Linked DNA regions of Cricetulus griseus. The protein of the gene in region 3 interacts with the protein of the main gene of each other region in a pairwise test. Links are inferred from orthologs where the notes say so. Each region holds a gene or a part of one and is shown on either strand. Other genes may lie near its edges.

Region 1 (7,177 bases), on a different chromosome or scaffold from region 3:
TATCAAGAGGTGACATGGTCTGGGCACTCCCATATCAACCATTAAGAAAATTTGAGCACCTATATGAAGATAATATAGAGGCATTTTCTTAGTTGAGAGGCCTTCTTCCCAAATGACTCTATAGCTTGTGTCAAGTTTATGTAAAACCAGCCAGAACAACATACTTGTCTTGGTTCTGATTTTACTGGCAGTACTTTTGAGTTTCTCTCCATTTAGAGTGATGTTGGCTACAGGATTGTTGTAAATTGCTTTTATTGTGTTGAGGTACGTCTTTCATACCCCATCTCTTCAGGTCTTGTATTATGAAGGGATGTTGAATTTTGTCAAAGGGCTTTTCACTTTTGATTTGTTTTTATTTTTAAAGGGTTTAATTTGTGTGGTTGTTTTGCCTGCATGCATGTCTGTGTACCATATGTGTCCCTTGTACCGCTACAGATCAGAAGAGGGTATTAGATCCCCTGGGACTTAATTTACAGACTTTTATGCCATGTGGGTACCATGAATCAAATCTGGGCATGCTTAACTGCTAAGCTATTTCTCCAGCCTTATTTTTATTTTTTAAGTTATGTATATAGATTATATCCATGCACATGTGGGAACAGTGGGAGCCCAGAAACAGTGTTAGATTCCCTGGAGCTCAAATTGCAAGTGTTTGTGAGCCACCTGGTTAGGTACTGGGATCCAAACTCAGGTTCTCTGGAAGAGCAGTATGTGTCTTAATTTCTAAGCTGTCTCTTCTGCCCTATCATGAACCTTTTATTGGAATGGTTTGATCTGACTGGGTTTTCCTTTCGGAGAGAGAGTGCATGGGAACCCTGTCCTGAACAGGATGAAAGGAGACATGTACATTTGAAGCTACAATTCACATGAGTGTAAAGACAATAGTACTAAATACCAAAGGACATGGCATGAATTATCCACAATGTTAGATTCAAAGCTAGAGTAATGAATAAGCTACTTAAGATAAACCAGGCAGCCAGGTGAGGTGACACACATCTTTAATCCTGGCACTTGAGTGGAAGAAAGCAGGTGGATCTCTGAGTTCAAGGCAAGGCCAGTGGTCTACAGAGTGAATTCCAGGACAGCCAGGCCTATGTAGAGAGACCTTGTCTCAAAAAAAAAAAAAAAAAAACCTAGGCAGAGGCCAAATGTAGTTGGGTATGCCTGTAACCCTAGTGGTTGGGAAGCCAAGGGAATTGGCAGCTTAAGACCATGTTTTGCTTCATAGTTTGTTTGAAGCTAAAATATCTGATCTGTATAGATTCTCTCAGAAAAGGGAAGGAGAAAACATGAATAGGGTATGGATGTGTGGGACAGAATCTGAGAAGAAATGAAAGAATTAACAAGAATTCTGAACTCCATAATATCTGTAAGACAAAGTTTCATTGGTTTTTCATCAAGTTAATTAAAAGAGCAACTCCTGCATTTATGTGGCCAGGAGCCTCCGTGTGTTGTGTTTCCCAGGATGTCTGTTGTGCTGAGTGTACACGGCCACCGCTATATTAGTAGTTGTCAGCTTCGTCTTAAGCTGTGTTCAGGGAAGTAGGCGGAATGTCAGGTGGTCTTGAGTGGGCGGGCTCCTCTCATTTTCAGCTGACCCTCACTTCTTTGTTTCTACAGTTGATGTGACCTTGGACCCAGACACAGCCTACCCCAGCCTGATCCTTTCTGATAATCTTCGCCAAGTACGGTACAGTTACCTCCAGCAGGACCTGCCAGACAACCCTGAACGGTTCAATCTGTTCCCCTGTGTCTTGGGCTCTCCGTGTTTCATCGCTGGGAGACATTACTGGGAGGTAGAGGTGGGAGATAAAGCCAAGTGGACCATAGGTGTCTGTGAAGACTCAGTGTGCAGAAAAGGTGGGGTGACCTCAGCACCCCAGAATGGATTCTGGGCAGTGTCGTTGTGGTATGGGAAAGAATATTGGGCTCTTACCTCCCCAATGACTGCCCTCCCCCTTCGGACCCCTCTTCAGCGGGTAGGGATTTTCTTGGACTATGATGCTGGTGAGGTCTCCTTCTACAATGTGACAGAGAGATGTCATACCTTTACTTTCTCTCACGCTACCTTCTGTGGGCCAGTCCGGCCCTACTTCAGCCTAAGTTACTCGGGAGGGAAGAGTGCAGCTCCTTTGATAATCTGCCCTATGAGTGGGATTGATGGGTTTTCTGGCCATGTTGGGAATCACGGTCATTCCATGGAGACCTCCCCTTAAGGAAGTGAACTTAGACCACAAGTGCTGTTGGCTATAATCCTACCCCAGGTCAAGGGATCTTGTTGTCTTGTCGATTTCTGTCCATCAAAGCTGGATACCCTTACCGTTTTCCATGCCCTTACAGTGAGAGACAAGATGTTCATGGTCTCTACTACACTTTCCCTTCCCTTGCAGATTGTGAGATGTAATGAGAAGTATTGCTATTTCCCAGAAATAAAAAACAGATTCCTCCTCCTGTGTTTCACACTTTTCTTGGTTTTTTACACATGACTAAAGTAGATAAAGAATATGGATAGGATTTGGAGAACCACTTTTGAGGTTCCTGTCCTGGCTTTTCTCAATGATGAACTGTGATGTAGAAGCCAAATAAACCATTTTCTCCCCAAGGTGCTTTTGATCAGTGTTTATCACAGCAACAGAGAAGCTAAGACAGAAATTGGTACCAGGATTGTGAGCTATTGCTGTAATAGACCTGGCCTTGTTTTAAGAAGGATTATGGAAGTGTTTAGAACTTTGGTTTGAAAAAGTCATTGAATATAAAAAGTATAATGAGTTTTTAAGAGTGTTGAGAGGAATACAGATGATAGAGACCAGACTTATGAAGATTCATTGGGAAGCAAAGAGTATTGGGGTCGTTGTAAAAATATATTTGAATTACGAATGTGTGATTTCTGGACAGCTGGGGCTGAAAAATTGACTGTGAATAACAAAAGAGACCAGTATGACCGAAGTGAAACCTTTGCTTTACTGGGACAGTGGATGCTGGCTAGCTGGCACTGAAGATCAGCTGATTGAGGTGAAATCTTCTGGGAAGTATTTCCTTAGGGTCGGCTCACAGAACCTGTCTTCCAGAGGAGGCCAATCCTGCATCTCAAGCTAGTAGCAAAACTTGGTAATGTGTCAGGATCTCCCATGTGGTACTGGTTTGACTGCATGAACAACAAGATTAAAGGGGTCCTGGAGAGAAGCTGAGGTTTGGCATCCTGTAGTGGGATCAGAGTCCCTGAAGAGAGCCCAAGAGAAGCTATTGGAGAAGGTGCAGCCAGTTGCAGTGGAGATTCCGGCATATTGGAGATGACAGGACTGTAGGATGGTCACCAGGTATAACAGCAGATGTGGAGCGGAGCTGGTGTAAGCCTACCAAACAAGTCTGTGCTGCATATGGCAGAGCTGGAGAGGTGAAGCTATGTAAGCTTTGGAGCCCAAAAGATCATGAGTCCCAAATGCTGGGCATTCAGTTACTTAACTATTCAAGTTTGGTTTTGCTTTGATTTGTTTGTAACTGTGCCCTGGTTCTATTCTCCTGGAATAAGAAAGTATGTAACTTATATTTTGATTTTACAGGAATCCACTTAATGACATTTTGGACATTTTAAAGAGAATTTGAAGTTTTAAAGTGTTTGAATTTTTTAAAGACTAGAACTTTAAAGTAATTTTTATTACTATTTGTGTGGGTATGTGTACATGTACATGCGCATGAGTACAGCTGCCAACAGAATCCAGCTAAAATCATCTGGGAAGAAGGAACTTCAACTGAGAAAGTGTCCCTATCAGACTGGCCTGTAGACAAATCTAATGGGACATTTTCTTGATTAATGATTGGTATGCGGGAGGACAAGCTCATTGAGCAGTGCTGCCCCTAGTCAGGTGGTTCTAGGCTGTTTTTTAAAAAGCAATCCAATAAGCTGTGGTCTCTGGTTCTCTTTGTTCCTACCTCCAGGTTCTAGCCCTGAGCTCCTTCCTGCCTTGACATTCAGTGATGGACTGTAATGTAGAAGTGCAAGCCAAATAAACTCTTTCTACCCAAGATGCTTTTGGTCAGTGTTTTATCGTAACAGTATAGAACAAACGTAAGACCCACTATTTTTGGACCATGTCTCCCATCTGAGAACCCAGGATGGAACCACAGATTTTGAAACGGCTCCCTTTCTCCTACCTTTTTTTTTTTTTTCCCCCATGGAACAGTAACTCTACTCTGATTGCCAGTTATTTTACTAACCCTGTTAATATAATTTATGTTTTGGTTACAGTTATTTTATACTAATGGTGAGAAATTACCCCATCTGTGTAGTGGCAATGTTTTAACCAGCGTCTCTTCCTCAGTCACTTTCCAAAAGCTTTGTTGGAAGGTCTGTCTTGGTGCTAGGCCTGTGTTTATCATCTAAGAATATCCTTGGAGTGTTTGTGAACTGGTAGTCATCAAACTCAATTTCTGGAAGGGTTGAATCAGTACTCTAGGGCTTCATTGCATCCCTGTGGGATGGGGATGCAATGTGTTTTTTTATGTGTGCCATTTGAGGCAACTCCACCCACAGTCTTTGGAGTCGGAAGCTAAGGCCACTTTGAACAAGCCCTGCTGTAGTTCTTAGTCCTGCTCCCCTTTGGTTTCCAATCTAACTGGGGCTTGGAGCTGGGAGGATGGAGCCTCACAATGAGGTGGACTGAAGTATCATGCAATAGCTTTCTTTATTCAGAGCATCAAACAATTTATACTCTGAGGGTTGAGAAGATTCACTGAGTAAACTGCATGTTGCAAAACCATTTTTCCACAGTCATAAACAAGCAGTAATATCCAGTTGTAATGAATAATCTAAACTATCTGCTACACCTGGGAGGAGCATGAAAACACATTCCAAGAATAAATCCATGTTTTTGAAGAAACAGGACATAAGACTCTTGTCTTGTTGGAGTTTTCTCACAAGCATTCAAAATTTCCCTCACACAACTTCATTCTTGGGCTGTGTACTGACACTACTGTTTTAAAAATAAAGTGACTATGTATGTTTACATTGCTGTTCTTTTTTGGGTCTTGGGTGAAAAGTGGTGGTAGGGGCTATTGATATTCCAATATGGGTCTATAATCCCCTCCCACATGGTAGCTTCCAAGTAGTTTATATAATAGTTTTTCAGTGCCCTGCCTGTTTCTAATGATGAGAAGACAATGTGCAAATCCATGGCATAGCCCTTGTATTGTATGGTCCTGTAATTTCATTGGGAGAATGTTGTTTCCAGGCCTGAATGTGTTTATCTGATTATTACAATTGTTGTGGATTTTTATTTTTATTTTTGAGACAGGATCTCTTTGAATCCACACTGTCCTTACTTGGTATGATCTTCCTGCCTTGGTCCTTTGGGTGCTAGGATTACAGACAGAAGCCATATGCCCATCTGAGTATGTTTTTTGTTGGTTGGGTTTTGTTTTTTTTGTTTTTGTTTTTTTTTCTGAGACAGAGTTTCTCTGTGTAGCTTTGGAGCCTATCTTGGCACTCGCTCTAGAGACCAGGCTGGCCTCGAATTTACAGAGATCCTCCTGCCTCTGCCTCCCGAGTGTTGGGATTAAAGGCATGCACCACCAATGCTCGGCTTTGTTTTTGTTTTTTTTGTTGTTGTTGTTGTTTGTTTTTGTTTTTATTTTTGTCTCTGAAGTAATGCAGCCCTGAATGGAAGAGATTGGAGCGCTCAAAACACGCTTCTCAACACAAAATAACCAGCCCAAGCTTGTGGGTGATGTCACCATGTGCTATAGAAGATGACGATGAGAAAATAAGGCTCAGGAATTTGTATCTTAGCTGCTTCTGCACATTGCCCTGGAATACTAAGATTGTTCAGTTACATACACATCCATACATACTCATTCCTGGTCTATCATTGGGCTTCCATGGCCAAAGACCTTTAGTAGATGTGTCCTAACTAATGAATAATGCCCCAATTCTTTATTCTTTATTTTTTTTTTTTTTCAAGGAAGATAGTACAGCCAACCAGGGACCCAGGTGCTTCAACAAATAGTGATGTATAAATGCTTAGGATAATACACGTGCATTTGAAACACTGACAGCAGTGTTTGTCTCTGAAGTTTTCTGCTCAGTAACTTAATGCATATTAGGGCTTTATGAAGTGTATGTAGTTGCCCTTGAGTTGCAAATAAACTGAAGCAGAAAGAGGATCAATGATTTATCTACCTAAGGTGTGCAGCTAGGAAGCAGCAGAGTCAGGTCCAAGTGAGATTTAGCATGCCCACAAACATCAACTTCTGCCACATAGTGTGTATACATACTGCTCTCTACATGTGAAACGTTGAACAGAGTGGATACTTTGAAGTGCTGATTTGCTGGCTTGGAATACCTTCTTTAAAACTGTTCACTACAGAAGATGTGCAGTTGGAGAATGGGATGGAATCTTAAGTCAAAATTACATGCCCTTTCACTTAGTACTTGAGGAGAAAGAAAAACCCACAAAGAGGATGTTCCATACCTATCCACAGGGTGTGCCACCACACCCAGTAATGGAGCAATCTTAGCCGGACAGGATCTCACAGAGTCTACTTTGGGCCCAGTTGACCTGATATAGTAGTTGCAGCTTCTCGCTGTACTTTTGCTAGAAGCAAAACTGGAGCAGACAAGTAGCCTTGTGCGTACTAAAGTTCCTGATTTGAATAAAAACATGTATAGAGGTGAACTTAAGATGGCTCAGGGAAAAGACACTGGCTGAGCAAGGCTGGCAACCTGAATGTGACCCTTGAAACTCAAAGTTCTACAAAGTCTGGAACCCACTTAGAATTGATTCCACACATCCAGCATTGGCATGCAGACTCAGTAATACTGAATTTAAAGTTTGTTTAGGGCTAGCAAGATGACTCAGGTAAACGTTTCTGCTGAGTTTGTAGAAGGAAAGAACTCTCTGAAGTTGCCCTCTGACCTCTACAAGTGCCATGCATGGTACATGAGAGGTGTGTGTGTGTGTGCACTCATGCACGCATTTGCACAAATAAATATTTATAAAAAGGGATTTTCTTTGAGCCGGGCGTTGGTGGTGCAGGCCTTTAATCCAGCACTCGGGATGCAGAGGCAGGCGGATCTCTGTGAGTTTGAGGCCAGCCTGGTCTCCAGAGCCAGTGCCAGGATAGGCTCCAAAGCTACACAGAGAAACCCTGTCTCAAAAAACAAAAACAAAACAAAACAAAA
Region 2 (8,064 bases), about 50 Mb from region 3:
AAAGCTAATAGTAAGGAAAAAGCATTCTCTATGTAGTGTAAGGGGGAATTGTTTTATATGTTAAACATGGATTTGGAAACTCTAATTTTTTTCTGCAATCTTTTAGTCTCAGGGCTATTAATAAGAAAAACTTTCCCCCTCCCTTTTCCTTACCTTTATTGCATATCTCCAATTGTCATCTAAATTATCATTTTTTTCTCTGTGTTTAAGGTGTGTGTGTGTGTGTGTGTGTGTGTGTGTAAGGGGTATGTGTATGTGTCTAAGGTGTGTGTGTGTGAATGCAGGCACTCTTGTGCCTCAGTGCACCTGTGGATGTCAGGACAGTGAGATTGAGGCCAAGACTGGTCTACAAAGTGAGTTCCAAGACAGCCAGTACTGTTACACAGAGAAACCCTATCTCAAAACAAAACAAAACAAAAAACCGAAAACAACAACAAAAACTAGTCTGGGGCAGCATTACCCACTGAAATCCCATCTAATTGGAGGCTGGGGTAGGAGGATTACTTGGGTCCAGAAACCAGTGTGAATAAATCATCCCAAAATGGAGTTTGAAAAGTGGTTCTTAATCTTTCATCATTAGATCTGAAATAACTGCTTTGTAACTAGCTTATTTATACTTTATTTTATTGAACCTAAGAAGAATCCAAAGTTAAAACTTAAGTCAATTACTAAGTTATACATTGATTTCCAAATTTCTCTTTTTGTTTTAACTTATATATAGATACTGAAATACATGTTAATGGGATGTCATGTAATGTTTGATACAGGTATACGTCATGTAATTCTTAAATCAGGTTAAACATACTTAACTCTCAAACATTTATCATTACTGTGGAAACATTCAAAGTCCTTCTAGAAGTTTGAGATATACAGTATATTTGTACATAGTCACCATATTGTATAATTGTGTGCCTAGAGCTTTTTGTCCATCTGCTGTGCAAATTGAATTTTTAAAAAAAGATTTTATTTTTATACATGTATGTGTATGTATCTGTGAAAATGCATATTTGGGGGTGGGAACCCACATAGGCAAGAAGAGGCTATTGGATTCCTTGAAGCTGAAGTTATAGGCAGTTGTGAACTGCCTGATATGGATGCTGGGATCTGAACACTGGTCCTGTGGAAGATCATGAAGAGCTCTTCATTGCTGAACTATCACTCCAGTCCCATAACTTCATGCTTTTAAGTCACATTTTTTTCAACAGTATGGATTAGGATTTTCTAAGCTCTTTTAAGTATTCAAATGGAAAAGATGCATTGAAAAGTTAATTTAAAAATTCTATTTTTCCAATCTTATGAGTCATTTTAGCTCCTCCTTAAGAAAATTGTTCCTAAATTTATTTATAAATTCATGCAAACATTCTAGGCCAATGTGTCTTGATCCTCATTCCCTTGCTCCCCTTCATTCTAGTTAATCTGGAAGTAGTGCAGACATTTCCAAGCTCTTTTTTGTTGTTGGCATGATGTACAATCAGAATCGCAATCAGTCCCGCCCCGCAGACTGTTCTTCAGATATATACATCTACATATATATATATATATATATATATATGTGTGTGTGTGTGTGTGTGTGTGTGTGTGTGTGTACATATACATATATCTATATATATGTATATGTAGATGTATATATATGTTTGGGTTTTTTTGTCTTGTTTTTTTCAAGACAGGGTTCCTCTGTGGATTTGGAGGCTGTGCTGGAACTCCCTCTAGGCTGGCCTCGAACTCACAGAGATTCGCCTGCTTCTGCCTCCCGAGTGCTGGGATTAAAGGCATGCACCACCAACACCCGGCTATATATTGGTTTTTGAGACAGGGTTTCTCTGTGGCTTTGGAGGCTGTCCTGGAACTAGCTCTTGTCGACCGCCCGGCTTTTCAGATATTTTTGATGAGATATTTCAAATATCTTTTGGAAGAAGGTATCTTGGAGGAGACAGTGATCTTGCTGTTGCTCCCTTTGAAGGTCACAACACTCCACCAAGATTCTCAGCTTTTCCTCTTACCTTCTATCTCTCCGAGGAACTGCTGGAAACTAGTAGCATCCACAATTCTGTTTTCTATAGGGGGTGTGCAGTCAAGTATGAATTTCAAAATCTGCTTTTTCACCACAAGGTTTTTTCCATTGGCTATGTGTCCTCAGAGGACTGTTTTTGTTGTTGTTGTTTGTTTTTAATTTTTGAACATTTTTAGACACTCTCCCCATCCTCCGTGTGTGTGTGTGTGTGTGTGTGTGTGTGTGTGTGTGTGTGTGTGTGTGTGTACAAGTAGAGAGTTGCAGGGCAGTTCTCTCTGGGTACTATGTGATATCCAGAGATTGCACGATTGCACTTCTTGGTGGCGGTACCATCGCAGCAGCCCCTAATTCTTCTTAAATCATATTAATTTATACATCAAAATTATATGTATGATTTGTATCTTTTCTACTCCAACCCGTCCTAGACACTACAGATTAAATTCTTTCTCTATCAGCCTATTTTGTAGTTTTTACCTCTCTTTCATCTAGAAAGGCAGTAAATATTTCTTGATTACTATTCATTTTAAAAAAGAGGAAAGTAGCAGTGGGTGGATATAGTATACATTGTATAAATAAACATATAAAACTTTCAAAGAATAAAATATAAAACATCCAGGCGCAGTGGTACATGTCTTTAATCTCAGAATTTAGGAGGCAGAGGTAGGTGGGTCATATTTGTTTGCTATTATTTCCAGTGTGGCTTAAATAAGTTTTTTTCAAGGCATACTTATGGTATGACAGTGTAAGAGAAAAGCACTGAAAAACCTAACCTCTAAGTATTTCCTTGTGCTCTGTGGTTAAAATAAAATGTATCAGTTTTCCAAGCAGTGTTAGCACATACATTTAATCCCAGAACTCAGGAGGCAGAGGCAGGTAGGTAGATCTCAGAGTTTGAGAAACCTTGTTTGAAAAAAATAAATAAAAAAGGTATCAACTTAACTTTATTTATTTAGGATTTTTGAGACAGGATCTCATATAGTTCAAGTGGACCTCAAACTCACCATGCAGCTGAGGAGGACCCTGAACTTCTGAAAATTCCTGATTCTATTCTTGAGTATGGTTAATGTGGTACTGGGACCAGGGCCTTATACATACTAGGCAAGCATTCTGCCCACTGAGCTACATCCTCAACCAGTTTTGTGTTTGGTTTTTTGAGACAGGGTTTCTTTGTGTAGCCCTGGCTGTCCTGGAACTTGCTCTGTAGACCAGGCTGGCCTCAAACTCACAAAAGATCCATCTGCCTCTGCCTCCTGAGTTCTGGGATTAAAGGTGTGTGTCACAATGCCAGTGTGCTTACTTGTTTCAAAAGGAAAATAAATAACCAGATGATAAAGTTAGATGAAATTAGGGGAAAAAAAGAAACATTTGAGGAATTGAGAGATACGTTTTTTCGGGCTGGTATTCTCTGGAAACTTTAATCTCAAGTAAGTGGTTGAATATTTGAATTTAGTCAATGCTGACTTCATTATAAAAACTGAACTTGAATTTAGTAGATAAGTTCTTTATATTTGTTTGCTTTTAAAACAGGGTATTATTGTATGTAGCCTTAGTTGGCATTAAATTTGTGCCAGTCCTGCTTCAGCCTTCCAAATGCTGGGACTACAGGTATATGCCACAGTACCCATCTAGTAGATCTGTTCTTAACAAGATGTATTTATGGATTGTACAATTAATTTCCCCTTTCAGGTTATGAACTATTATGGGAAAGGAAAAGTGAGAATTACATTAGTAACAAAAAATGACCCATATAAGCCTCATCCTCATGACTTAGTTGGAAAAGACTGCAGAGATGGCTACTATGAAGCAGAATTTGGACCAGAACGCAGACCTCTGTTGTAAGTATACAGTCACAGAAATCTTTGGCAACAGGACAAGGATATAATTTTAGTTTTTAGCAAAATTATTTTCATATTTAATAATTTACTATGTATACATTTAAATTTTTAATTTTTTTCATCTGTCAGGGACATGCATGTGCTTTGGGGTGTATGTGGAGGTCTGAGTTGGTTCTTTCCTCCACCATGTGGACTCTCAGAGTTGAACTTGGGTCACTAGGTGTGATTGTAAGGATTCAGGCATTATGCTGACCTGCCCCTGTCACCTGGCAGAATGCACTCGGGCAGTACTCTGGTCAGCCCAGGGTCCCATAGTTGTGTAGTCTGCACCAAGGTGCAAAGGACCCCTTGAAAAGAAAGACCCCTGCCAACTTATGCTTTCTTTCTGGCTCCTCTCTTTCCCTCTCTCCCATTCTTTCTCTCTGTTCCCTTGGGGCAGACAGGACTTTCCCTATCTCCCTCTCCTCTTCTGTCCTCTCTGTCTCTGTGTCTCTTTACCTCTTTTATCTTTCCTCCCCTCTCCCTCCCCTTTCTAATAACATTTCTCACCAAGCTCTGACTGCCTGGCATGTTTGTCCCTCCACCTCGGTCACCCTCGCCTGCCGTGGAATCCTCCAAGGTCCCCCCAGGCAAGGTCCTCCTGGAGCTTTATCATAACAGTGATGGCAGATGCCTTTACCCGCTGAGCCATCTCAGCAACCTGATATTTACCTTTTTGTTTTTTAAACATTGGCATTAGAGCTGTTCTTTCATTTTTATGAACAGCACCACATATGATAGGTGGCAGAAGTACTTCCTTGAGAATTGGAAATTTAGACAGCTCATGTAGCCTAAGCTGGATTCAAACTTGCTATGTAGAATGAGTTTGAATTTATCTTCCTGCCTCCATCTCCCAAATCCTGAGATGGTAACACTACCATGTCTGGTTCAGCAGTACATGTTTTTTTTTTTTTTAATTATGCTCTTATTTTTTCTTAAGACAGGGTTTATATAGGCAGGTGGCCTTCCAGAGGATCCAGCTAATGACAGCAGAGGTGTGAAGTTATGTTCATAAGGCACTACCTTAGTTTATGCAGACAGAACTCAAGACAGATTGCTGCCATGTTAGGCCAGCAATCTGACAACTGAGCTACAGGTCTACCACTTCTTATCTTCTAAGTTTGGGCTGTTTTTAGACAGAATTTCACTGTGTTGCTCAGCCTAGCTTCCAATGTGTAGTGTCCTCCTGACTCAGCCTCCAAAGTGCTAGGATTATAAGTAAACATGCATTGCCTTATGAGGATAGATGTACTTCTTTATAATTATTGAAAGTAAATAAAACATATTTTATGTTGTGATTTATCTCTTCATCTGTGAAAAAAACTTGAGGCCATCTTGGAGTACACAGCAAGATATTGTCTCAAAAAAGTTCCTCTTATTAATAGTAATAACACAAAACACAAAAGCACTACTAATGCACATTTGACAAGAAGAACTACTGCCCACATTTTTTGAACTTCCACCAGTGTTTTAAACTTTCAACCACTTGTGTATTGAAATGCTCTTCTTGATTTCTGTGAAGACAAACTTGTTTTAATTCATAGTTTTCTGGCTGTTTTTCCAGATGGCCCCTGTGTTTTCATCTCTGTCACTCTAGTGCCTCTAATCTGTTTGTTTGTTTGTTTGTTTTTGTTTTGGTTTTTTTTGGTATTTCAAGACAGGGTTTCTCTGTGTAGTCCTGGCTGCCCTTGAACTCAGAGATCCACCTGCTTCTGCCTCTTGAGTGCTGGGACTAACGGGCATGTATCTCTAACCTTACTGTTGCAGTCAGAAGAGTATTCTTTAGTTTGCTCTGCTCACAATGCTTTTTCATAGGGCCATTTCATGTTCTGTTCCTTTTATCTTCCTAATCCAGTTCATATTATCACTTCCCACAGGAAGTCTGCCTGCCCACCTTGAATTGATCCCATTATATTCTCCTTCCTATAAAGTATATTTACCTTCATAAAAGTTGTTATGATTCAGTTGAGTGTTTTTGCCTGTGATTATCTGGTAGTTCACCAGACTTGAGCTAGCAAGTTTTCCTGTAAATGGCTAGTAGTATCACAGGCTTTACAAGCCTTTTGGATTCTGTGTCCTACTCAACACTGCTGTTGCTGCAGGAAAGTGGCCACAAATGATACATGAGTGTATGGACATGTTTGTGTTTTAATACAAACTTTATTTGCAAGAAGAGCAATATGCTGAATTTGGCCCATGAATTAGAGTTTGCCAATTCCCCATTCCAGACACTGAGGTTCCATGAAGGGAGAAATTGTACATCTCCATTCCTTTCTAGAATTTTAATGCACAGCTGGAATTCCAAAGTGTATTGAATGACTGCGAAGGAATAAATGGGAGGATGAACCAAATACCCTAATGATTCTTGGTTTCCTTAAGTCAGATTTATTTTACTCATTCCCTTCTTTTCTCTTTCTTCTAGTTTTGGGTGTCATGAATGCTGAACAAGTACTATATTATTGAGTTAATAATGTCCTAGCTCTTGGAATTTTGAAGCTCCCCATTAGTTTTAATATCCTATGCATAGCAGATAGGACTATTCAGATAAAACAAAGCTAAGTAGTGTATATAAGGTTGAAGAAGTCTTTAAAACATTTTATTAGAAAAAAACTAAAAAGCACTAAGAATCTTTCAAAGAAAGAATTATTTTGTTAAAGGATTTCAAGAAAGGATTAAGAATTCATAACTTATTTATTTTGTTATTGGAGGTGGAGGAAGGAAATGGCAAAGTTATTTTAGGTGCTAATAAAGTCACAGGTGTGAGTGTCAAGCATGAAGCATGAACATTAAGGCAGCATGAATGTGGAGTAAGGTGACCCAGGCAGCCTCTGGCTGCAAGTGCCAAATGAAATGTGAAGAAATAGTGATGTTCTTATCATTGAGTTTTGCTTCCTTATTCACACCCACCCATCTCGAATGATGTCATGGTTTTTCCATGTGGGAACAAGTATGACTGGGTGGTGGTAGGGGAGTTCCCCCCACCATCATCTTTATTACACATATGCAAATGAATAATATTTGTAGTTATTGAGAAGTTTTCCATAAATGACCTTTTGAAACTGTTGCTAAATATTGTTAGTATTAAACCTTTCTAATAAAAAACACTTCACTCCTTTTATTGTAATCCTATAACATGGCATACAGTGCATTTTATAATCTTTGAAAAAACTCGAGACCAGCCTACATAGCAAGACACTGTACAGATGCTCACTGTGATTTGATGTATTTGACGATAACACTTTTCAGTGATGAGCTAGGGAGGCAGCATAAACGAATAGAGGAATCAAGTATAAGTGGAGAAACTGTACATAAATGGGGCCACAGTTGTCTCTGTGCCCATGTTCATGAAGCCAGGAATACTGATGTTTGTCTCTTATTACTTGAGTTTTAAGTTCCATAAGTTCCATAAGATTTTTAAGTGCAGTGACCACTCCTATGCAATCCTTTAAAAATATAAGTTAACACTGCTATAGGAGCCAGACATTGTCTTTGTACTTCTTGATACACAAATTTTAGTGAGTTGATCATGAATTTGTTTGGAAGGTGAAATTTTGCTTTTTGGTGTTTTTTTAAAAATGTTTATCTACTTGGTATATTTGACTAAGCATATCGGTAATATATAGTTATAAAATAGTATATTTAAAAGTGATATAGTACTATATATACTTTTTTGGTTTGGAATTTTAAGATAGGATTTCCCATAGTCTAGACTAGCCTCAAACTTGCTAGGTAACTGAGGATGGTCCACTTGCCTCCATCTCCCTAGTGCTGGGATTAAAGGCATGTGCCACCATGTGCTCTATTTTTCTATTGATAATTCTTTCAGATAGTCCTACTTTTTGTTACTTTTATATCTTTATTATCACAATTAGAGTAGGATTCATGATCTAGTAGCTGGATTTGACAAGAAGGTGACTTCCCAGTGTTGAATATGTTTGATTTCTGTCATATTTTTATTTTATTGTGATATGATTTTGAAAGTTTCATTTTTTGCTTTTAGTTTTCAAAATTTGGGTATTCGGTGTGTAAAGAAAAAAGAAGTGAAAGAAGCTATTATTTTAAGAATAAGTGCAGGAATCAATCCTTTCAATGGTAAGTTTTTTGTTATAATTTCTCCTATAATTTGGATATCAATGGACTGTGATTTCTATTTATAATTCTACTTGTTGACTTATATGT
Region 3 (7,841 bases):
TAGGCATTTTTTTTTTCATTCAAACCACCACACCAAATGAACCAACTCTCAGGATTGGTTATCGAGTCTTCCTCCTTCATAGGTGTTAGGCATATTGCATGTTCAGCCCAGACAACTCTGTTGAGAAAACACCTTTGGAGTCCCTGTCTCCTTTCATTTTTATGTGCACAGGGTGATTAATCTTTGAGGCCTCTCCATGAGTGTGTGCATGGATGTTGGTATTATATTCTTGAGCAACCACCTTCTAAGTGGCAGATTGCCCTTGTCACCACTCTTCGAGAACCATTCTGGTCAAATTGGAAAGGAATATCCTGAGGGATTGTGGGAAAGGGATAGTTTGCTTCTTCCTGACCATTTTTAAGTGTGTGGTTGAATTCTATATACCTTATGCAGTTTCAAGAATTATTATTTTTATTATTTGTTTTTTGTTTGTTTTGAGACAGGATTTCTCTCTGTAATAGTCTTCGATCTGTAGACCAGGCTGGCTTCAAACTCAGAGATCCACCTGCCTCTGCCTCCCAAGTGTTTCGATTAAAGGCGAGATTCTTAAATTTTTTTTTTGCTATTCAACCTCCCTCCGTCTCTCCCTCCTCCCTCTTTTTTTTTTTTTTTTTTTTTTTTTTTTTTTTTTTTTTGGTGTGTGTGTGTATAGCCCAAGAAGTCCTAGAATTCTCTCTATAGACCAGGTGGTCTTGGACTCAGAGAACCTCTTGTCTCTGCCTTTTGAGTGCTGAGATTAAAGATGGATTGCCATCACCACCACCACCCCACTAAACAAATTTTCTGCTCATTTCTTTTTTCTTCTGTGATTAAAGGTGTGTACCACTCCTTCCTGGTTCAAATGTTTCTTCTTCTTCCTTCTCCTTCTCCTTCTTCTTCTTCCTTCTTCTTCTTCTTCTTCTTCTTCTTCTTCTTCTTCTTCTTCTTCTTCTTCTTCTTCTTCTTCTTCTCCTTTCTCCTTCCTCCTTCCTCCTCCTTCCTTCCTTCTTTTTTTTTTTGTTGTTTTTTGAGACAGGGTTTCTCTGTAAGTTTAGAGACTGTCCTGGAACTCTCTTTGAAGACCAGGCTTCAAACTCACAGAGATCTGCCTGCCTTCAGTTTTTTGGTTTTTTTTTTTATAAATATACTTTTTTATTTTAAGTATATTGGTGTTTTGCCATGGGTGTCAGATCCCCTTGAACTGGAGTGACAGTCTTGACTGCCATGTGGGTGCTGGGAACTGAACCTGAGTCCTCTGGAAGAGCAGTCACTGCTCTTAACAGCTGAGCTATTTTTCTAGCCCCAAACATAATTTTTAAAAAGAAGTAATTTAGTTACGGGAGAGAGGTCTTAGTGGCCTCTTTTTTTTTTTTTTTTTTTTAAATGAATTTGGCCTTTTGGTTGTATGTATGTGTGAGGCCATAGATGTTGAAACCTCTATACCTGTAATTAAAGACAGATGGAAGCTGCCATGGAGTCTGGGAACTGTACTTGTGTCTTCTAATGAGCAGCAAGGCCCTTAATCACCGAACCATCTCTCCAGCCACTGAAATTCCTCAAAAATTAAAATCAGAGTGATACACTCTTTCCGTGTTTTTGTGGTAATGGAAAGACAGATATAAATATTTAAGAGCTAAGTGTGGTTATATGTGACTTAATCTTTATTTCAGAGCTTATTATATGGGTATGGTTTCTGTGTGAAGGTCATAGGATATCAGTATGGATTCTGGTCTCTCATCAAACTTTCAACTGAGTTCTGGGGATGAACTTCAGTCTTGAGGCTGGTGTCATGAGTGTTTTTATCCACTTAGACATCTTATCAACTTCTGTGCTAAAATTTAGTATTACAGCTCTTGGTGGAAAATTAACATTGATGCTCTTAGGAAATTGAACACCTAGGTCTAGGTGGGGGGAGGAAAAAGAAAACATGGTTTGTTTTGTCAGCTAGGATATAGAACTATGTAGCTGTTTTTAAAGGTTTTGTTTTAGGACAGCATCTGTGTAGCTGAGGTGCTAAAACTGTGGGCCAAGCTGGTCTTGAACTCTTGCCTGCCTCTGCCTACAGTGATCTTTAGAGTAAAGGCTAGTACTACCCACCTTTGTGGTTGTTTTGTTTTGTTTTGTTTTCGAGACAGGGTTTCTCTGTGTATCTTTGGAGTCTATCCTGGCACTTGGCTCTGGAGACCAGGCTGGCCTCTGCCTCCTGAGTGCTAGGACTAAAGGCGTGCGCCACTAATGTCCGGCAATCCAGCTGTGTTTTCAAAGCTTTTAAAAGAACTCTGTGTCTTAAATGCTAGTTTAGCAGGTCAGCCTGTTTTTTGGTGTTTGCTGCTGTTGTCTGAGACACGTCTCAGTGTAACTCACAACCCTTTATGTAGGGACCTAAACTTAGGTTCTCTGCCAAAGCAGTACACATGCATAACTGTGAACCATCTCTCCAACCCCAAGTGATGATACTTTAAACAAAAATTTGTCCTATTTTGGAATATAACAGACTTATTTTGGAACTTCTAAAGGGTACTTTATTTGCTTGTTTTATTTAGCGTGTTATTAAAAGAGGTGGCTGGAGAGGTGGGTCAGTGGTTAAAGGCATTACTGCTCTTTGAAGGACCCAAGTTGAATTTCCAATCCCCATGTTGGATGACATACAATTGTGTGTAGTTCCAGCTGGAGGGGATCAGCTGCTTCTGGCTTCTGTAGGCACCTGTACTTATATGCACATAAATGAATATTCTTACAATTCAAAACAATAAAACTTTCAAAATCCCCATGTTAATATTAATAACTTTAATTATCTCTTTACTAAGAAATATGGGTAAGGGACTGGAGAGGCTGCTTAGTGGGTAAGAGCATGCGTTCCTGCAGAGGACTTGGCTTTGGTTCCTAGCACCCAAACAGCAGTTTATGATATCTGTAACTCGGAGTTCTAGGGGATCCAGAACCCTCTTCTGACCTTCTTGGGCATCAGGCACTCAGGTGCACACACATACATGGAGACAAAACACTCATACACTTAAAACCTAAAATATTCTGTTTAAGAAGAGAATGAATTATAAATGGAACCATTAGATAAAGCTTACAAGATAGGTAAGAGTAACAAAAAGAAAAAGTGAAGTCAGATAAGAATACAGTGATTTAAATTATCGAAGAAATAGGCTCATTGTAAGAAAAAAATGGCAATTATACACACATTAGTTAACTCTTATTTAAATTCAGAAAACATACACTTTGTTTAGGTCGTTCAGCACCCCCTTTAAGTGGTATGTTTTCCTATTTTGAAATTTAGGGCAGCAGCAATGACTCTGCGCACGGTATTATTGTCATTGCAAGCACTGTTGGCAGCTGCAGAACCAGATGACCCCCAAGATGCAGTAGTAGCAAATCAGGTAAGAAGGAAGTTTTTGAAAGACTTTCTTAGACCTGTGTATATGGATTTTAATATTTGATGTCAGCATATGAACATTCTATATTGGTACTAAATTTGGAAATGGTTTCATTGGATACATGACAGATGCTTTTCCCTTATGTATGATTGAATTCCATAGTGAGCACCTGTGTAGATTCTACAGTTAGCATTTACCACATGCACTTTATCATTTGTGCACTTTTGTAACCCTCTTTCTATACCTTACTGGCTTCTTCCTGGTGGTGATCATAATAACCTCCCACCACAGAAGTGGAGCTGATGGTAGTGGCATTGCAATGGTTTTCATGGGTGTTGAATGGAGAACTTTTTCCTTTTCTTTAATGCCTCTAAGGGTAAGGTAAGGTACATTCACACTGGCTGGTTTGGGCAATCTCATTTTATAGGAACAGAGTCATAACCATGTGTTTATTTTGATATCCAGTCACACTGTCTGTGGTTTGAAAGGTTTAAATTGTTAAAATCTATGTTTTAGTTCACCAACCTCTACTTTAAAGTATTCTGATTTACTGAGCATTTTTATTGTTAAACATCTCTCAATTTATGAAATACTTTCCTCTTCTCTCCCTATTTTTAAAGTTGATTCCCTGTCTCTGTCTCTCTAAGACATGGTTTATCTGTGTAACAGTCCTCCTGGCTGGCTGTTCTTGAAAATACAAAGATCCACTTGCCTCTGCCTTTTTGGCCATTGTTGTTCACTTTTTTTTTTTTTTTTTCCTTCCTTTTCGAGACAGGGTTTCTCTGTGTAGCTTTGAAGCCTATCCTGGCACTCGCTCTGGAGACCAGGCTGGCCTCGAACTCAGAGATCTCCCTGCCTCTGCCTCCTGAGTGCTGGTACTAAAGGCGTGCGCCACCAGTGCCCGGCCTGTTAATCACTTTTAATGAGAGCTATTGGCTCCTACTGTAGTTCCCCTTCCATTGTATGCACTCCCTGGATGATCAAAGCACCGTGCTTGACCTCTGAACCCCAGATCCTGCCTGTGTGGAGGTGTACTCTAATCCCAGCCATTGGCAGGCAGACACAGGTGGACCTCTGTGAGTTCATGGTCAGCCTGCTGTACTAAGTAAATTCCAGACCAGACAGAGTTAAAAAGTAAGACCCTGTTTCAAAACTAACAACCCAAATCAACTGTTATTCACTCATGACCTAACACTTACATTTCAGAGGTTTTCCATGATTTAAGCTATTGAACATGTTTTAACTCATAATGTTATTCGAATTCATGAATTTTTGGGATTGTAATCATTTTAATTTTTATACTGTTTTCCTTGTTTCTCCTTTGGGAAACATTTCTTATCGAATATCCTTATATTTTTTAGAACTGTCCCTGTGTATGTGTGCTTGCGAACATACTTGCTTGATGTCTAAGCGTGGGCATAGGTACCTCACAGCAGCCATGTTACCTAAGTTTCAGGCTTCAAACTGTTCTTGTATTTGTTTTTTTCCTTTGAGATAGGGTTTCTCTTTGTAGCTCAAATTGTCCTGGAACTTGCTTTGTAGATCAGGCTGGCCTCAAAGTCACAGATCCACCTATTTCTGACTCCTGAGTGTTGGGATTAAAGGTGTATGCCACCACTGCCAGGCTTTTAGTTATCAAATTCAACTTGTCAGGCTTATGCGGTGTCCTTAGCTGCTGAACTATCTTCCCGGCCCAAATTTCTTTATCCTTAAGTTCTTTAAGAACAAAACAAAAGGACTTATTTTTAAAATTATATATATATGTGTGTCTTTGGGTATGAGCATTTGAGTGCCAGTACCTGTTGAGGTCTAAATAAGGTAATATATCCTTGATTTTGGCCACCTAATATTGGTGCTGGGAAGAGACACCTCTTCAGGCTTCCCTTCTCTCTTCCTTCTGCTTGAAGATCTGCTTATTCTTTTTTATGCGTGCTTCCTTAGTTCCATTGATGGACTTAAAGTGCTTGGAATTAGGGCTTTTCGCAGTTTGCACATATGTGCTATTCATTAATAATTTGGTAGCAGACATCTTGTCTTCAGAAATTTAGCACTGATTTTCCTACAGATTTAGATGTAACATCAAAGCTGACTTTTTTTTTAAGATTTTATTTATTATGTGTACAATATTCTGCTTCCATGTATATGTGCACACCGGAAGAGGGCACCAGATCTCATAACGGATGGTTGTGAGCCACCATGTGGTTGCTGGGAATTGAACTCAGGACCTCTGGAAGAGCAGTTGGCACTCTTAACCTCTGAGCCATCTCTTCAGCCCCCAAAGCTGACTTTTTAACATCTAAAATAACTAATAACTTTGCTTGTTTGGTTACAAAGTATTGAAATACATATCTTTTTTTTTTTTTTTTTTTTTGAGACATGGTTTCTCTGTGTATCCCTGGCTGTTCTGAAACTAACTCAATAGACCATGCTGTCCTTGAACTCAAAGAAATCTGCCTGCCTCTGCCGCATTATATAGTAGGTGCTGGTAACTGAACTTCTGACTTTTGACTCAGTTAACAATACCATTCAGTGTTCCCCATAGCTCTGCCCAAATGAGTCCCATCTTAGATATAAATGTATTTTCTTTAGTTGAGATGCTATGTTAACTGTCACTGCATTGTCATGCTAATCGTTTTTTCCCCCTCCATGTAGTACAAACAAAATCCTGAAATGTTCAAGCAGACAGCTCGACTTTGGGCACATGTGTATGCTGGAGCACCAGTTTCTAGTCCAGAATACACCAAAAAAATAGAAAACCTGTGTGCTATGGGCTTTGATAGGGTAAGTACAGGAGGAATTGATTTGACTTCCTCATTCTAAATTGCTCTGAGTCCTTGGGACAGGTGGGCTAGCAATGTTTTTTTTTTTTTTTTTTTTAAACTGTTTGGTTAATAGTGTTGTGTTACTGAAATCAACGATTCTTTTTGTTGATTCCAGGCACTGGTAGAGGAAAGAATGCATGATTCTCTGTGCAAACCTTAGTGAGGTTTTTCAGAGCTTAGTAACTGCTTCCTTGAGATGTGATTGTTCTTATCCACTTCTTTACAGAATGCAGTAATAGTGGCCTTGTCTTCAAAATCATGGGATGTAGAGACTGCAACAGAACTGCTTCTGAGTAACTGAGGCCTGGGAGCTGCCACCAGCCACGCTCGCCTCTTGAGGAGCACCAACATCTGTTATTTTTAGGATTCTGCATAAATTTCTTTTAAACTGGCATTCTTGCCTAATGATGTTATCTAGGCACCATTGGAGACTGCAAAAAAAAAAATAATTCCCTGCTCTGTAAATAAAGCTAATTAAACGTCTGTGTAAATTTAAAAAGGGGAAATACTTTAATTTTTTCTTAATAGTGTAAAAATTCTTTGAGCTAAGCTAAAACCATGGAGAAAACATGCTACGTTAGTGTTTAGCAGTATAACAAGACTAGCGAGTTTGCTTCAGGGTTCTGTTGAATAACTAGGATTAACACTGAGTGTCTCCTGCTCACATTGTCCTGTTGCATCACAGCTACCTTAAGCGTTTGAACATGGATCCTCTGTGCCTGTGAATTTACTTGCATGCTTGTACTTGACTTCTTAGGATGGGTAGCTGAAATGACCACCCTTTTAAGTGTTAGAGATTCTTGAATTTTGAGATTTATTCAGATTTAAAGATGACCTAATCAGAGCCTTTCAGTCCCTGTGGATAGGTCTAAGGACACTCTTATTTTTTCCTTGTTACCATCCAGAGCTAAGATTCTCATGGTGAATTTCTCTGTGTTTGGTGGGAAACGTGCTGAGGAAGTGTCCCTTGTTCCATTTTAGGTCATAGGTTTGAAATGTTTTGTCCGAGTTCTTCACTATGTAAGTAATAATGTAAAAATGGGGCTGCAAATTTTATTTCTCTTACAAAAGAATTAACACTTGATGTTGCAGTATTCCCAGATTTAATAAAAGGACCCTACTTAGTTTTTCAGTGAATTTGACATTTTTAAACTGATCAATCTTTGGAAACTTGAAGGATGCAGCCAACTGTTTCTAGTAGTGTCCAGTTTAACTGGGACTTTAGTTTGCTTTTATCGGACACTTGAGAGTCACTCTTCTTGCACTCCCCATATTGACACATAAAAGCTGTTGTGTCTCACTGTACATACTTCAGATGCACATAGGAATAGGGGTGTGTTATAAATCTAGCTTTCTTTATGATGTTTCTAATAATGTGAGAATTGAAACTTTCCCTTCTCTTGTACATAGACTTCCTGTTCTTATTGACCGTCACATCTAAGTTCCAAAGTTTGAAAACTCTTTGTTTTGAAAATTCAAACACATAATTTAACCATCTTAATAAGGTTCAAGTGAATTTATGTAGGCAGTTATTACATAGGAGATACAATTATGAATTTTGAGGACCAATGCATAAATAACAGAAATGTAATGGAATCAGACTGAATTAAAGTAAGGCTCTCTCTTGAAAGTCATATTATAAAAGGTTTGTTTTCTT
Region 4 (8,064 bases), on a different chromosome or scaffold from region 3:
AAATGTAGTTGTGAGCTGCTCCATAGTGAGTGTGGGCTGGCAGGATGTACAACTAGAGACTCCTTGTACATCCAGAATTTAAATGATCAAACCATGGGACAAGGAGTTCAGCCAGGGATTGGTCCTTCATTCATTGGGCTGGGCCTTGCAGCATCAGTAATGTGGCATATGGAGAGATGCCCCGTGCCACCGCACTGGACCCTTCAGCCTGTACAAGGCTGACACCCAGTTCACCAGTGTCTTCATGATACCAGTTCTCAGCTGTCTGTCTGCTCACAGACTTAAATTCATGTATCTTCCCCTAAACCATGGGGAGTGGAGACTCTTGAGGGCCTGGCCTCCTGTGTTTAAGGTGGGTTTCTAGAACACAGCAGATTGCCTGTGGCAGGCCTCCAAGGCCGCATTATTACAGGGCCCTTGTAGCCATGAGTTACCAAAGGCACTTGGAGGTTTGTAGTGTGTCCCTTGTCACAGCACCTGGCTGAGAGGCTCTTTCCAGAAGGGCTCCTCTAAGGAGCCAGGCCTGGACTGATGCCGTGTTTGTTTATCTGAGACATTTTCACAGCATATTCTCCTTAAGCTTGACAGCTTGTTTACAATGGGCTGCTGCCGGAGGGCACTTTCCAAGTGCTGTCAGCTCCTGAATTACGGCTTTTGCCAGGGCTGCTCAGTACGGCATTTATCTAGGAAAGAATTATTCTATATTCAATAACCTATTGCTGAGCTGACTGCACACTGTGTGTGTGTGTGTGTCACACCAGTCAAGGTGGAGGAGAGTCATTCCTTCCCTCTTGTTACTCTGAATCTTCTGGTGGGCTGGGAAAAGGTGGATGTTGGAGGAGCACATTTTCTACCCATTTCCCTAACTATTCATCATCTCTCTCTCCTCGTTTCCCTATCACTCCTCTTCCTTTCTTATCTGGCAGGGGTACACTTTACCGAGCATGTTTTTAAGATCTCAGCTGGTTCTGGAGACCCAACATGTGGGCTTCACCTTTCTTCACTTTCACCACAAGTGAAAGTGTGATAGTGATTTTTCACTTTCATAGTGAATAGTATAGTAAATTTCATAGTGATTTTTCACTATGAAAAATCACAGACCCAGAAAAGCCTAAAATACTGCATAAAAAAAAACAACCAACCAAAAACTCCCCTGTGCTTAATTATTACTTTCCAAAGTAGTTTACTGTGTACTCCTTTGATTCTACCTCATGATACCAGGGGAAGTGGGTCATGATAGGCTCAGAGAAGTGACTTTAAAAGGTGTGCAGTGGACAGAGTGGAATGTAGTTACACTGCTCAACTGGTGTGTGTGTGTGGTGTATGTGTGTGTATGTGGGTGGTATATGTGTGTGTGAGTGGTGTATGTCTATGTGTATGTATGTGGTGTATGTGTGTGTGTGTGTGTGTGTGGTGTATGTATGTGTGTGTGGTGTATTTGTGTGTATGTGTGTGTGTGTGGTGTATATGTGTGTGGTGTATGTGTGTGTGTGTGGTGTATATGTGTGTGGGGGCATGTGTATGTGTGTGTGGTGTATGTGTGTGTGTGTGTGTGTGTGGTGTATGTATGTGTGTGTGTGGTTTATGTGTGTATGTGTGTGTGGTGTATCTATGTGTATCTGTGTGGTGTGTGTGTGTGGGTGTATGTGTGTGAGTGGTGTATGTCTATGTGTGTGTATGTGGTGTGTGTGTGTGTGTGTGTGTGTGTGTGTGTGTGTGTGTGGTGTATGTGTGTGTGTGTGTGTATGTGTGTGTGTGTGTGTGTGTGTGGTGTATGTTTGTGTGTGTGTTTGTATGTGCATGAGGCCAGAGCATGGTGAGGGGCATCATAATCTATCACAAGCATTATTGCCTTGACATAGGGTCTCTTGATGATCTAGAAGCTCATCTGTTCATCTAGGCTGATTGGCTGTCTCTGCCTTCCTCCCCTAGAACACTCTCTTACAACACCCACAACCATGCCTACATTTTTTATATGGGGTGTTGGGGATTTGAATTCAGGTCCATTGGACTTATGTACTCTTACCCACTGAGCCATCTCCCTAGCCCTGCTTAATTTCTTATTTCTAGCCATTTTCTCATCACAGTGAAAGCCTGGGATCAGTTTCCTTGTTTCATTTATAGTGAAGCAGGACACACTTTAAAAAGCGTGGGCCATCACAGGAGGAAAAACTAGTTTTGTGTAGGGCTTCATTATCTGGGAGTTGAATTTCTTAGCCAACCAGAAGTCTCACTGAGCTCTTGGCATCAGAATGCACCCCGTTTGCTACTGTTTAAGTCATGTCCCTCTTCCAGAGGCTGAAATGTGTCTCCTGACTGTCTGAACATCACCAAGGGAGGGGAGGGCCAGAGCGGAAGAGCTCATGATGACTAATAGGGAAATGAACAGAGGGTCTGATTGGCGACGGAAAGGGGTGGGGAGGGAGGGAGTAGAGAGCCAGGACACAGTGCTATGGGATATGGGAAGGGTGCACTTTTGACAGGAAATACTACTGAATAACAATAGGACGTGCTCAGATTACAACTGAGCCCACACAGAAGACTCAAGCCAGGAAGCAGGAGGCTGGCTGGCCCCTGGACATATTCTCAAGGATGGCAGCCTCCCCCTCAGCCCTTTAGCTCTCACTGGGCAGCACATAGAGGGAGCAAATGGTACGCTTTATGGGTGCCTCCAATCAGCTTATTGCGTGGAGTTAAATGAATGAAAAAGGGAATACTTAAAAATTCTTCTTCATACACAGCAAGGACACTTATTGGGAAATGGCTTTTCTTCAGTGGCAGCGAAAGTCTTCTCAACCAGATAAATTAGTGCTTTTATGGGCAGTGGACTCAATATCCCAACACACGGAATAATCATCAGAGAGCACAGCACCACATCCAGTAAAGACTCCAGACTGTCAGGATGCAGGAAGGAAATAGCCAGTAGGCAGGATTCATGATCTGTGCAGGAGGCTGCAGCGCAGCAATCCTTCATAACCTACCACAGGCCCAGCAAAAGCCAGAAGCAACCACCATGCCTCATACCAGTTGGAATCCTAGTCCACCAGAGAGGAACTACGGGGTGTGGTTCTGAATGGTGAGGGCTGGGAACCTGGGTTTCTTTATTGGATATGCTCTTCCTTGCAGTGTGTTTGTATATACATTCCCACTCATATTCTCAGCGCCCCCAGTGCCTCCAAGCCACACAGGTGTGCCATGCCAGCCTTTGAAGGTCGGTTCTCAATTGGGCAGGTGAGAGGTGCTGTAGACACCAGGGAGGTTTGTACCTGTGGTGAAGTGCTGCCAGTTCTAGCCACCCAAACCCCAGCCACTGACCATACTCACTAGTGTCCAGAAGAGGTAAATAGTGAAGAGTGCCACAGTGAGTGCAATCAGTCCAACGGCCTCCAGCCGACTACTAAAGTGCAGGTGGTCCACGGCGCCCCGCAGGCACAGCCAGCCTGAGATGGTAGCCAGGGGCGTTATAAACAAGAAGCACACCATGTCTCCAAACAGAGTTCGCTTCTCATGCTGGGGGCCAGGGTTTCTGAGCCACTGCCAGAAAAGAAAAGAAAAAAAAAAAAGACAGAAAAAAAGTAAGGAGAAGTTTGGATGGCAGCAGCGAGGGGTGGGGACACATTGCTCTCAAGTTGCCTTTGCTTCAGGGTCTGGACAAAGGCACTCTTGACCCACCTAAGATGATAAGGAAGCATGGAGGGCTTGTTCTCATGCCTCTGTCCCTCGAATAATAATGACTATGACAGTTTGTAATGTCCTTGCTGAGGATGACCTGCTTTCTGTGAAAAGAGTTCAATGGCTGCTGCTATGAATTGCAATGATCCTATGAGGGCAGAGGAAAGGTTACTCTGCTGTGCTCTGCAGTGAGCGGTCCCCCAGATTTTCACATGTGAGGCCATGGTCCCAGGATGGTGACATAGGTACTGTAGAACTCTGGGAGGTGGTGCCTCAAAGGGAGGCAGCTACAAAGGTTACCAGGGTCATGGCATCCAAGGAGATTATGGGATGTGGGTTTCATTCCTTTGCTTCCTTAGGATGAGACCACTTGCTCTGACCTGGATACGCTGCCTCATCAGAGGACCAAAGCAATATGGCTGCCAACCTTGGCCTTGCACCCTCAGAACTGAGGGCTTGAATAAAACTTTCCTCTTAAGTATTAATTGCTACAGGGATTGCCTCTCAGTGATGGGGAGCTGACTGCTGCAGACGGTAACAGCCAAGGTGTGAGAGCTGTGTACATGCACCCTCGGCTTTCCTGTATCTTGACTTGGGAGAGTGTGTGCAGAGGAGGGTTAGCTCAGCTGGCCCCTGTGTCCTCACTTAGGATCACCTCTGACTCCTTGATAGTGCTTCGAGAGTGTGCGGATAGACCAGGATGAGCATGTCTTGTTGAAGGACTATGAAGAAAATATGGACTGCTGTCGTCCCACTCGATAACTGCTGAAGACCTGGAACTGCTTCCCCAAGCACAGACTACAGAGGATTACAATGCAATTCTGCATTTACATATTGGTGTCAGCATTTTCCAGAAATGGAGTCCAGTGGTTTCTGTAAGATTAGCATGAATGCACAACCTAGTACACTTGTCCCATGTAGTGAAGAGGCCAATTAGGCCTGAGAAGTGGGGTTCTGTAGGACAGGCGGTGGGGTAGGGTGGATTGACATTGTGTACTCTGTCTTCCATCGTGTCCCCACCAACAAACAAGTGCCTGCATTGTCTGTCTGTTGGCACATGCCCAGAACTGCCATTTGATGGCACCAAACAGAAGCCCTGCAGGGTGCTGAGTAGAGATTCCCACCTGGCCAGGGCAGTAATTCCTACAAAACTGTGATGGGCTTACGAGGGAGATGGAATGACTGGAGAGGGAAGGAAGGGAGGGTCATACATGAGGACAGAAACAAAACACAGTGGCTGCACAGAGGGAAGGCAAGCTGGGGCTGGCATGGCAGAAACCTCAAGAATAAACAGAAGGGGCAGGAGGACAAGGCACAGAACAATGCCTGTGGGAGGGGTCCTTCCCTGTGGTTGCCTGGATCCTAGCACACCAGCTTCTAGTGATCACCCCCCGGAATACTGGGTGAGAAGTCAACGTCAGCTCAAAAGTGGGCATGAATTACCATTAGGACACAGATAACAGGGAGTCCGCTTGTTTGTGGATATGGATCCCACATTATGAATATTTAACACAAATACCCAAATGATCAGGTGCAAATACATTAACCCTGCCATGTGCTGTGATGCCACCTCACACAGTTCAGCAGCTTCAAAGAGCTCTCATTAATTAACATTTTTCTTGCCTAAATACTGGCACTACCCCTAAGAAGTAAAGGATATACACAGGTCATTATCATCCCAATTTTACATACTCTGTAAGGTTGAATGATTGAACCATGTGACCCAGAGGCTGCAATGAGGAGATGACCCATCAGGCTCTCTCCATTCTCCATGTCATCTGAATACATGATTAGTAAAATATTTGGAAATTTAAATTGCAAGACATTACTTAGGCTCCTAAAACAACGGTGCCCAAGGTTTAGCGGAGCAGTCCCTTTAGAGCTGGGTTTTCCCAGACAGGAAGTTGGTACACTCACCTCTGCACCCGTGGTTGCAGGAAGACGGTCCTCAGTAAACATGCAACTGTGTGCGGAGACTGGCTCACTTCCTTGGCTACGACTTCCCTTTCTTTTACTGGGAAATTCTGGACATGTTTTATTTATTTAGAGACAGGGTCTATGTATCTCTGGTAGGCCTAGAACTTGCTCTGTAGACCAGGCTGTCCTCAAATTCACAGAGATCCACCTGCCTCTGCTTCCCAAACACCAGGAATAAAGGTGTAAGCCACTACTCCTGGCTGGCCATATTTTACTAACATTAATTTGTTATATTACTATCTATAAGCCTTCTGACAATGCCCTGTGCAACAGATGGTCCAGATATGGAAGAAAACAATTACGAATCAGTGTTTACTTGATAAACATGTTAGATTTCTATTATTTATTTATTTATTTATCTAATCTATCTTTGTGTGTGTGAATGTATATGTGTGCATACAATGGTGCACAGTAGAGGTCAGAGGACAGACATGGGTGTTGGTCCTTTCTTTCTACCTTGTTTGAGACAGGGTCTCTTAGTTTACACTGGTGGGTGCACCAGGCTAGCTAGTACATGAGCTACTGGGATTTTCCTATATCTTGACTCTGTCTTCCTGGAGTATGGTGGGGAAGGGAGGATTACAGATAGATATCACTATGTCTGCCTTTATGGGGTTCTAGGGATCCAAACTCTTGGTCCTTATCTGTACACATGGCAAGTGCTTTTACCATGGAACCATCTCCCCAGCCCTATATTTATCTGGTAAAACAAAGACACAGAGCCTGATCGTGCAGCTCAGTGGAAGAGGGAATGAAAACTCTGGACAAGGCCCTGGGTTCAATCCTCACTGCTTCCCTTCCCCCATAAAAGTGAAAACAAGTGTGTGACAGGCACAGTGGAAACTGCAGCTGCCTAACCCCGTGTCTTGTGTTCTAATTGTTCTCGGATTTTCTGTTCCCTAGTTTAGCCCACTTTGTATGTCTCCAATTGTACTTGTTAGTACTGCTCTTGGGAAGACCTGCTTACTTTGCTGATTATATTTTGATGAGGCGTTCTTAATACTCTTATGCAAAATATGTGTTTTCTTTGAACCCCATGTGTTACTCTGCCTTTCCCTCTCTGAGCAAGAAGAGTGGCAGTAATTTGCTGTTGAGAAAGAACACAAACACCTATACACACCAATATAGAGGTCTCCATTCAAGTAGAGTTTGTAACAGAATATTTGATTAGTTTCAATTTCTAACACTATGAAATGATCTAAATCAATTGTAGAATTTACTTAAAATCGTATTATCATGTGATAATTTATAAACATGGTATACTGCTGAGCAGAAAAACTCTTCTGGACAGAATATATACTCCGAGTCTATGAATGCAGATATATCTACATGGACAAAGAAACTTAGGTTTACTTAGACATGGTATATTGCATGGACATGACTAGAGGGATACTCAACAAAATAGTAGCTATACCTGGCATGAAGTGGTTTTAAGATTTTATGAAACATATTTTGTTTTCCGGAAGTGAGTATGAACCATATAGCTGTATCTACATATCCTTTGTACAGAACATATATACACACAAACACTCATATTTGGAGAGAGTGGGGAAGGGAAGGGGAAGAAGAAGAGATGGAAAGAGAGAGGGGAAGAGACAGATAAAGAAATAGAGAAGGTGAGAGAGGGAGAGAAAGGGGGAGAGAATGAAGAGTAACAGACAGTGGGGTAGGCAGGTGTCTAGCTAGTGCACAGCTCCAAAGCACTAAAACACTATATGGAGTTACAGCTGGGGCAGGCTCAGTGCTAGGAATTTGGTGTTTATTGTGCATCATCTCACAGAGTGCTTACAACAGAGCTATGGAATAGAGCCTACAGTATTCCCCACTTCACAGATACAGATATGGTGGAGCAGAGGACTTCATAACCTAGCTAAGGATAGCCAGCCAATGAGAGTTAGAGGTGGGATTCAGACTAGCCTCTACTTGTTGTTCCTTGATTTCCATATTAACATTTTCATTTTACACCAAATGGTAACTGTGTGTGAGTACATGTGTATGCTAGGTGTTTTTTTCAACTTAGGTGAGACATGGTAAGTCATGCTAATTTTATGGTGTGTAAAGCAGGGTGTAGGGGGATGTAAATCAAGTTGCTGAATGGTTGGCTGCCCAGGATGTGATCATGGTAATTTTACAAAATTTTCTGGGCTGCTGCTTTGATCTATGTTAATTCTTTTATCTAACTAGAATGGGGTCCAATTTCTGGGCATTTAATCTCACATTATCATGCACATTGGCCTAATTCATAACAGGCAAAGGGTTGATCTCAATTACTGTGCTTTGCTTTTCTGGTTCTTTGTATGGCTTCTGCTTCTCTGTCAGTCACACTTACCGTATACCGAGGGAGGTGCAAATTCTGCAGTGGTGCTTCATCTCCAGCAAACCGAAGCAGGGAAGGTACAAGCAGCCTTGTTTTTC

The links. The genes of interacting proteins can lie anywhere in the genome.
Region 1: the proteins of Ube2k (region 3) and Trim27 interact in binary tests that used the Homo sapiens proteins (3 or more experiments, as listed by UniProt). The link is inferred for Cricetulus griseus from reciprocal best matches to the Homo sapiens genes UBE2K and TRIM27.
Region 2: the proteins of Ube2k (region 3) and Rel interact in binary tests that used the Homo sapiens proteins (3 or more experiments, as listed by UniProt). The two-hybrid records come from large-scale screens. The link is inferred for Cricetulus griseus from reciprocal best matches to the Homo sapiens genes UBE2K and REL.
Region 4: the proteins of Ube2k (region 3) and Marchf3 interact in binary tests that used the Homo sapiens proteins (3 or more experiments, as listed by UniProt). The link is inferred for Cricetulus griseus from reciprocal best matches to the Homo sapiens genes UBE2K and MARCHF3.

What each region holds. Positions count from the first base shown.
Region 1 is NC_048596.1:243,546,834-243,554,010, forward strand, and holds the end of Trim27 (zinc finger protein RFP), read left to right. Parts: intron 1-1,620; coding exon 1,621-2,216; 3' UTR 2,217-4,023; downstream 4,024-7,177. UniProt on the Homo sapiens protein: E3 ubiquitin-protein ligase that mediates ubiquitination of various substrates and thereby plays a role in diffent processes including proliferation, innate immunity, apoptosis, immune response or autophagy.
Region 2 is NW_023276807.1:83,018,794-83,026,857, forward strand, and holds part of Rel (proto-oncogene c-Rel), read left to right. Parts: intron 1-3,697; coding exon 3,698-3,846; intron 3,847-7,885; coding exon 7,886-7,977; intron 7,978-8,064. UniProt on the Homo sapiens protein: Proto-oncogene that may play a role in differentiation and lymphopoiesis.
Region 3 is NW_023276807.1:132,626,560-132,634,400, forward strand, and holds the end of Ube2k (ubiquitin-conjugating enzyme E2 K), read left to right. Parts: intron 1-3,265; coding exon 3,266-3,365; intron 3,366-6,014; coding exon 6,015-6,143; intron 6,144-6,410; coding exon 6,411-6,485; 3' UTR 6,486-7,818; downstream 7,819-7,841. UniProt on the Homo sapiens protein: Accepts ubiquitin from the E1 complex and catalyzes its covalent attachment to other proteins. In vitro, in the presence or in the absence of BRCA1-BARD1 E3 ubiquitin-protein ligase complex, catalyzes the synthesis of 'Lys-48'-linked polyubiquitin chains.
Region 4 is NC_048595.1:182,139,719-182,147,782, reverse strand, and holds part of Marchf3 (E3 ubiquitin-protein ligase MARCHF3), read right to left. Parts: intron 3,535-8,064; coding exon 3,316-3,534; intron 1-3,315. UniProt on the Homo sapiens protein: E3 ubiquitin-protein ligase which may be involved in endosomal trafficking. E3 ubiquitin ligases accept ubiquitin from an E2 ubiquitin-conjugating enzyme in the form of a thioester and then directly transfer the ubiquitin to targeted substrates.